Linked DNA regions of Kluyveromyces lactis. The protein of the gene in region 1 purifies or fractionates together with the protein of each later gene. This does not show direct contact. Links are inferred from orthologs where the notes say so. Each region holds a gene or a part of one and is shown on either strand. Other genes may lie near its edges.

What was found.
Region 2: the proteins of SMC1 (region 1) and IRR1 purify together in Saccharomyces cerevisiae (affinity purification with mass spectrometry; 6 studies listed by BioGRID, with this or other methods). This does not show direct contact. The link is inferred for Kluyveromyces lactis from reciprocal best matches to the Saccharomyces cerevisiae genes SMC1 and IRR1.

What each region holds. Positions count from the first base shown.
Region 1 is NC_006040.1:643,623-648,247, forward strand, and holds the start of SMC1 (cohesin subunit SMC1), read right to left. Parts: upstream 2,861-4,625; coding exon 1-2,860. Other genes in the region: KLLA0_D07524g (uncharacterized protein), read right to left, coding at 3,396-3,803; SCF ubiquitin ligase complex subunit CDC4, read right to left, coding at 4,362-4,625. UniProt on the Saccharomyces cerevisiae protein: Involved in chromosome cohesion during cell cycle and in DNA repair. Central component of cohesin complex. The cohesin complex is required for the cohesion of sister chromatids after DNA replication.
Region 2 is NC_006042.1:2,572,790-2,577,156, forward strand, and holds the start of IRR1 (cohesin subunit IRR1), read right to left. Parts: upstream 2,932-4,367; coding exon 1-2,931. Other genes in the region: ATG45 (Atg45p), read right to left, coding at 3,593-4,267. UniProt on the Saccharomyces cerevisiae protein: Component of cohesin complex, a complex required for the cohesion of sister chromatids after DNA replication. The cohesin complex apparently forms a large proteinaceous ring within which sister chromatids can be trapped.

The DNA.
Region 1 (4,625 bases):
CAAGGTCGAGTGTTTCAATATCTTCTTTGATTTCATCCACTTTTCGTCTTGCGGCTTGCATGCTCGATTGAATTTCTGCAATATTACTATCAAATGAAATTAGATTGTGCACTTTTTCATCTAGCTCCTTTTGTTGAATGGCTACCAGTTGTTGTTCTTGTGAAATTTTTGAGTCTGCATTCTTGATCTTTTCCGTTATTATGTCCTCTTGTTTCTCTAATGAACCCAGAGCCTCTTTCAATTTATCCATGTCAGATAAGGCTTTTGTATGACGTGCCGCAGTAGCTCCCAAACGGTCCTTTTCGAATTCCAATTTGTTCTCAATGGTGAGAATCTGTTTCTGGAACTGTTGAAGCTCCTTGGAGTGCTTTCTCATAATTTCGCCAGTACCTTGTTCATAGTCTTTAATTGAGAAGCCATATTTATCGGTGAAAGGTCTAAAAATCTGTTCTTGTAAAACATCTTTCTCACTTTCCAACTTAGTTAATTTGCTCTTCAATTCTTCGATACGTTGAGTGAAGGATTTAAGCTGAGGTTCGTATTCTGTAGTAATCAAATCCTCGTTATGCTTGATTTCGACATTTTTTCCACTTAAAGTTCTTTCAAGTTGGGTGATCTGAGTTCTCAAACTCGAAATCTCATTATTTAACAAAGATATTTCATTCTCCAGCTCTCTGGATTTCATGTTATCAGCTCTGAATTTGTCTGATAGCGCTGTCAATTCTTCGGTAATTTGATCTTTCAATACCATCAGTCCTTGGTATTCATCTTTATTCCATCTATTCTGGTTTTTCTGTGCCGTACCACCAGTCATTTGTCCAGCTTTATGTATTAAAGCACCATTCAATGTCACTAGTTTGGCCTTGACATTTCTTGACCACTTTAATTCTTTAGCTAGGTCTAGGTTATCACAAATAATAGAATCTGAGCACACATATTGCATTGCCTTCTCAAGGTAGCCTTCGTATTCGATAGCATTAATAGTCAAAAGGCAGCCTTGTACGTTCGACACCGGCAATGATGGTGGATTGACGTCGATTGTATCAAGAGGTATGAAAGACGCTGAACCGGCTCTTTGCTTTTTAAGGTACGTGATACATTCGTGTGCGGTAGCAATACTGTCGACTATAATGGAATCAAAGTTTTTACCAAGTATCGTTGATACTGCAATCGCATACTTCTCTTTTTTCGGATGACATAGATCGTGTACTAATCCTTTCACACCGGGATATAATCTCTTAAGCATAGAAACATTCTCTCTTAGTTTTCTTTCCTTCTTGGTCTCTCTTTGATCAGCGTTAAGATCGTCAATTTTCAGAAGTACGTCTCTCAAGCTAAAATTCAGTTCATATTCCTTATTCTTTAGGGACTCAAGATTAGTTTGAATACCTTTCCATTCTTTAGACTTAGCAGCTGCTATCGAGTTTTTATCATTCAACCTTTGTGTTACCTCGTTGAGATCTGCTTCTAAAGCATCGACATCGACCTGTAATTCGTCACTTATGCGTTCCCTGGTTGTTTTCAGTCTTTTGTTAATAAGTTCACTCTCTTCGTTTAGTTCAAACTCGTCGTTTTTTAAGATAGCCAACTTTTCCTCGATATGAGAGCCTCCAGAACTTAAATACTTCTCTTTCAATAGCTCATATTGTTTTAAATCTTCTTCAGATAAATTGAATTTATTGAGATTGGCATGAATATTTTCTAACTCTTTCTCAAACGACTTTTTTGTTTTAGAAACTACCTTCAGTTGATTTTCGAATTGTTTGACATAAGCTTGTTGCCTTTCCATATCTTTCTTGAATGAGGATATTCTTTTTTCCAAGTTATGTATTCTCTTGATGGTAGCTAACCTCTCGCTTCCAACAGGTAGTAAAGATGACTGTAACGATGTTTTTTCATTTTCTAACTGTACGAGCGTATCTTTCAACTTACTCAATTGCAGTTCATGTTTAGCCGTTGTGGATTTGATTTTGGTCAGTATTCTTTCTTCGTCTGAAAGCTTGTTCTTCAACGCAGTCGTTTCAGTTTTTGAAACTGTTAGAGAATCTACCAGTTTCTTCCTTCTTTTAAGGATATGGAATAGTTCCCATAAAATAAAGTTATGTTTCAACTGATCTCTAATTTCTAAACTCGTTCTATATTGCTCATCCCGTTGGACACCTTCTTTAAAACTTTTCAAATCGTTTTGCACTTTTTTCCTTGAATTATGAGCGTCTGTGAATTCAGCTAAAGCCAGCTTATGCTCTTCTTTCAATTTCTCATAATCATTCTTATAGTTTATAGATCCAGAAACCTGCTCCAATAATAGCGTCAATGATTCTGGTCCCTGAGAAGCGATTCTTTCGACATCACCTTGGAAAACCAAAAAGTTTTTCGCCTTGACCAAGATGTTTTCGGATTCTAATTCCTCGTTATATTTTTTATAGCTCACAGCTCTATCGTTGATTTTGTAAACGCTATCACCAGATGTATTGATGGTTCTTGTGAATTTTGTTGGTTCATCAAGATCATCTTTTTGATACACGCAACTGACATATGCACTTCTTGGTTCTTCCTCCGAATATGTGGCATTCTCTGGACCAGCTTCCGAATCAGCGTCGGATCGGTGCATTCTCTTAGCATTGCCGTTATCTGGATCGCCATTTTCAATTCTGCCCCTGTATATCAAATCTACAAGCGCCGATGACCTTAACTGATTACTTCTCACACCTAACACAAAGGAAATGGCATCCATCAGATTCGATTTACCAGAACCATTGGGCCCAATGATGCTGGTGAAGTAAGACTCACCAAAACCAACTTGCACCGTATCCTTATACGACTTGAAATTATGCAGCTCTAACCCGATAAGTCTACCCATCTTGGAACACGAATATCTCTACAAATCAGCGAAATAAAACAAAAAATGATCACAAGTTTATTAGGATAACTTGTACTGCAACTTCAATTATAAGCGGCTTGTTGCAGCTGATGTAGATGGTAAGCTGACCGAATAAGCTACCCATCCTTCAACTAACACGAAAAATCTTAATGTAAATAGATATAAACGCCTTTCTTATTTTCATTTTCTAAATATTGCATTGACGCGTTCGAACATATCCGGGTAACTTGGTGTTTCATTATGTAACTTAATTGGGAAGTTTCCGTTATAATCCGTCCATCCATAAAGAGGACGGAGGTGCTAGTTGCACCAAGGATGTACAGAAGACAAGATCGGTATGAAGCTGACACCCTGATATACAGTTCACACGTTCTGTGGTTTTTGAAATTCAATTCGTATTATATCGGTTTTTTTTTCTGGGGTTTTGCTTTAATTAACTGCATATGATGATATACTTATATGTATATTTATATGAGGATGTCTGAGATGGATGGAAAAGTCAGTATTTGGTTCTTTACACGCCTGTTTTCATCTGAACAGGCTCCAGTTGTGGGATGCTAGCGTAGGCATTGGACGTGTCTCTGTTGTTCATCAATCTGAAGAAGTACAGGTTGAATTTGTTAATATAGAAGATGGAGACCACGCTTAACAATATGTAAGTCATTTTCAAAATGGCTTTTGGTACATAACCCCAGTTTATGGTACGATACTGGATCACGATGTTGACTCCTAGTAGGAAAATGACACCGCAGCTCAACACAAGTACAAAAGCACTTACAATCAGACCTACTGATAGTTCTTGTGTTCTTAAGGCTTCCACGGTTAAATTTTCTTCAGACTGAGACCCAACTTGTTTGTTCCTCTGGCTAATTCTCGATGAGGATGATGACGCCGATGATGATCCTTCTTGCTGCAATGACATTTCAGTGTGTTGGAGGGGTATTTTGGGAGTGCTTAAGTGGGTAAAGATTCAGTCCAATCCAAGACGCTATGCTTGAGTAGGCACTGGAATGTTGCAAGAATAGGTGGACAAAATCGAAAGAGGTACTTATATTGTGTAAATTTGACATTTTTTTCAATGTGCAACTTACTTTTTTCCTCATCGCAAAACACACCCGATTAATTCCTTGGCATAATTTTCCACACCTAGGGATGACCCTATCTTGATAAGAAGACATAGATAGGTAAATGTTGAGAACTGTATATGTCTGGTATAGTAGTCGACTGTATCCACCAGTACTGGGGTGGCTGAAAAGTTTGTAACACGTAGAAATAGTATTGAAACTCCTATATATGTCTTAGGGATAGGTGATGCCGTAGATAAATTAATCATACAACTTTTTTATGTCTGCTGGCATTGAAGAGAAGAGAAGAGAACAAAGATACAGAGGATTGGTATTACAGAGTTTATTTGATGGTAGAATATTTCCATACGGCGAGATACCAGATGTGGTAATGCAAGTTAAATTGATAGTTAATGTTAAAGAGTGGAAGACCAAAGTGACGTTCGATATATTTGATGGTCGACTCTTGTTCTAGTCCGGGTTCTGATAGTCTTGTCACCATTCCGAGCAGCAAAATCCAAGATTTCTACGTAACTGTGTCCCACTGACTCGATCGCAGCGACTAATTTTCTGTTATTTAATTTGATACCCCACACTTGTTCCGAATCTGTGAGTAGCTTCCTGTGTATCAGCTTACCGGTCCTTAAATTATATACATTGAATTGTCGTTCCGATCCACT
Region 2 (4,367 bases), on another chromosome or scaffold:
CACTCGATCTAGAGTTATTCCCAAAAATTTTCCAAGACAACTCTCAAGGTAGAGGAAAACTTTGTGGCAAATACCAGTTAGATCTTCGTTAGAGATAACTGAATATTCTTGCCTTAACGCCCTTATCCAATCGGAATCCTTTTCTGACAAATCGAGCTCAAACATTTTGAATGCAATGATAATATCTAACAATGGAGAGAGTATTACATGAAGCACATGGAATTTCTTGTCGTGTTGTATTTCAGGGTTAGAATCGATCTTTGAAGAAAGATTCAGCAATTCGACTAATACCGTTCTAATTTGATTCAGCGTAGTATGTGAAACAGCTATAGGTTCTTCATTATTTTTGATAACATCTCTCCAAGTTGCTAAATTCCAAGTAACTATTGAGGTGAAAAGCTTAAAATCTAGGACAGATATGGCATCCGAATCAATCTTTGGTAGTAATTCACTCAACGGCTTCAAGAATTTTTCAACAATGTCATCCAAAAGCGTTTCTGAAATTTCAATTGCGAACTCCTTACCCAAAATTACAAGTTTGTTAACATATTGCAGATATAATGTTGTTATTGAATTATCAGATTTTATGTCAAATGATTCCATAAACTTCTTGAATGATAATGTCACGTTAATCAGACATGACTTCCAATAACCAGTTACCTCTGGTATTTGAAGGGATGCCAAATATGGAATTAAACTCTTATAGGTTTTAGTAATGGCATTTGCGTTGCTCAAAACCACTGGAGAGCTTTCAAATCGTTTTGTTATTGTTTTATTGATATTAAAAATGACATCCTTTGATTCACTGGAATTCCATTCTTCTGTGTTTAATAGCTGTATTACATTTAGTAGTTGAGTATATATCTGATCAGAATCAAGATTCATTTTCTTGAAAAGATCTTCTAACTCTGGAAGAATTAACTGTGTCACGGCTTGTCTGTCCTGGCCTTTGTTGTACTGTATGCCGCCTGTGCATAAGCCGCCCAACACAGTGGCATAAAATAGGACATTGTTATCAGTTTCTGGTAGGAACAATTTGATATCACCCAGATCATTGGAAAAATCATCTGCATCAGCATGAATTGTGCTGCCATCGAAATTTCCCTCTTCATAGAGTAGTTTTGATATAGTTTCAATTAAGTTGTAAAACTTGGGGGATAAAAATTCCGCCGCTTGCTGTAAGAGTTTGATTTTGTCCGGTGGTACTTTTGCATAACCTTCTAAATTACTAGTGGAGTTGATATGATTTAACAATGAATTGTGTAATAATCTCATTAACACACCCACCTTAACAAACTGCTCTTCCGTTACCGAAATTACCGGAACCTTAAACCTTTCATTGTTTATTAGAAACTCTTCCGTTTTTTCAGAAACAATGTTTGCCAAGAATTTGGTAACCTCGTTCAAGAATTTAACGTCCCTTGACGAAGAAGATACTTTTACTTCATGATCAAAAAAGATCAAGCTAATGATGTCTATTATTTCATGGTCATCCAGATAACCCAACCCATTAATCGACGAAAGTACTTGAACTGAGGTTAATCTTACTTGAATATCGATGTCTCTGCCAGCTATTTCTAACATTCGATCTTTGAATCTTTCGAAAAATTGTCTTAGGGCAGCGTTATCGACAGTATTTTTGTTTCTCTTATTGGAGAACTTAATTAGGTCATGAAGGGACCTTATAACTTGTAACCGGACTGAATTACTGCTATCAGATAGCAACCAACCGAAGTATTTGAGGAAGGTTACCTTAAAAAAGTAGTCTGGATTGTTTTCAATCCAATCTAACAAGTAGGATATCGCAAGGGATCTGATATTTTCATCTACATCTTTGAAACGATGAACAAAACAGAGCTTTATTATGTTATCAATAGTGTTTTCTATCACAGTTTTCGTAGCTTCAGCATCAGAAATAGAAGATTCTAGCGTCTCCATAGTTTTGGACTTGGGCTTTTTCTTTTTTCTCTCCAGTGTCAACTGTTTCCTCAGTTTAAATAACACCTCTGCTTCTAAGCTGGCAGAAGCTCGTGCGAGAGAATCTTGGAAACAGAAGATGGCTTTAGCTGAAACATATCGCAAACATCGTATTTTTGATACTGACATGGAAGGTATCCATGTAAGTAAGTCAATAATTAATGGATTTGTTTCGATCACAATCTCGTCACTTTCTTCTTTTTCATTCTCAACATATATCATCTCTTTCTCAATGGCTAGGTCCATTAATGTGGTCATGAAAATGTTAAAATTATCATTCAAAGGACGGAACTTTGCCTTCTTGTGTGTTGCCGATAGTAATAAATGGAACTCATGTTTTTTTTGCTCATGGAACATAATTTGTATTTCCCCTATTGTTTCATTCGAAGAGTCATTATTAGCTACATCGTGTTCACCAATATGAGTGAAACATCCAGAACAATCTAATAAGAAATTTATGAGATTCGCTAAGCTGACATTTCGGTTATCTATATAGGAATCCAACCAGTCACTGGCAAGTTCTTCGCAAGAAAAATCGTCGGAGCTGCTTAGAATTTCAAAAAGCTCTGTGGGTTTGAATTCATTCTGCAATGATATGTATGCTTCCTGTTCTTTTCTTGAAACAGCACTGGATATATTATTAGATGGTCGGCCTTTCTCGTTTTGTTTTAATTTCGTTCTCTTGTTGCTTGCAACGCGCCTACCTCCGGAATTTGGTCTTTTTCTGGAGCCAGGGGCAACATAGTCGTCATCATTGGCGTCATCGTCTTCTTCTGAACTACTAGAACCTTGTGATAAAGCTTCTTCTTCTTTCTGATTATCCGTGTTTTCGATATTTATTCGATCGTCGGTGACAATGGATCCTATAGTTTCGTGCTCAGAGTCCGATTCTGATCCAGATTGTTCACTATAAGAGGATTTGGTCCTTATCCTGGTTGACCTTCTCACTGGCATAGGTAGACAGTGGAACGAGGCTGAATGGTTCTAGTAAGTGACTGTTGTTGTTAATGTACTATGAGTGAGAGCTGTTTTTTTCCTTGATTTGTTGTTCGTCGCCTCTTTTTTTTTACTTTCATACATATAGTTTTTTAGATTTACGCGACGCGTTTTTTTACTCGAATCCATGTAAAATGTAAGTATTATATTTTGGCCTAATAACGGCAGCTGTGTTAAGAAGTGAAACAACAGTGTTACATTGTTAAATCACAGACCTATATCAATTTCTCTATCTAAAGTTAAATGACCTGTTTTACGAAGACATCCATGAACTTTATCTAAGAGCAATTTTCATTCAAATGAGATGACTTTTGTATGCTTTCATTTGAGGCTACCAAAGCATGGGAAGAGAGTGTGTTTTGAAGCAATCGTCGTAATCGATTTAAACCGACAGACTGTATTACATCCTGAGAAAAAAAAGAAGTTAGAGGCTAAATAAATTAAAGAAGAGAAATAGCACGAGGTTTAAATAGTAATTATTGTAGTTTGATGAATATGTGTTCAGAAGATTTTTACTGGATAGAAGAAGTTGAGCAAAAAGCAGTGTATATTAGCGTGAAAGGAAGAAAAATCAATTAGAAGGAGAATAGGTAAAGAAGAAATAGCATAAAATTAACCATCAACGTTTCCAGTAAGTGGTTGCACGTCTTAAAGTTGCGACGAGTCCGTGTATCGGATTATATGAAGATGGATATTTGGCATTTTGATCAGAGTAGCTTGCCTGTAGTAGAGTTTGTTGAGATTGTTGTTCGTCAATATCATCTACCAAAATATCATCAATTGTACCTTGTGTTACTCTCGGATCTAATTCCACGTCCTCAGATGAGCTTAATTCACCTCTTGAAGTTACGTGTATGTAATCTTGTTCGCTACTTGGCCTAGTGATTGCTAACTGATCGATCTGAAGATCTGAAGGTGACATAGAAGATCTAAAAGGTTTTAAATCCAATTCCACATCTTCCATTACAATATCAGCAACCATTTCTTCAGTCTCCAACCAAGCCTTGCAATGGATTAAATTGTTTTCGTGACCCATATCATCTATATATTTATCGAAACAGCTCAAAGCTTTCCAATGTTCGTTGTTGACAACGAACTTACAGACGAACGTTTCACTATAGCCATCGTACGGCAAATGGGCAATAAAGTAGCCTGTGCTTGAATCATAATTCAAGGTGTACTGACCAGGATTCCAATTATCGAAATCCCCGGTGATAATAACATGATCATCTTTAGTAAATCCACATGAAGCGGGATCAATTCTAAGACAAAGCTCTTGACAATTTTCGGACATTATTTTCAATGGTAAAGTTTTGATGGATACGGTGGCTCTGGAAACCGAATGAGCAAAGTCCTTGTAGACCCTCTTATCGTAAATATTTCTTTGAGTAGTT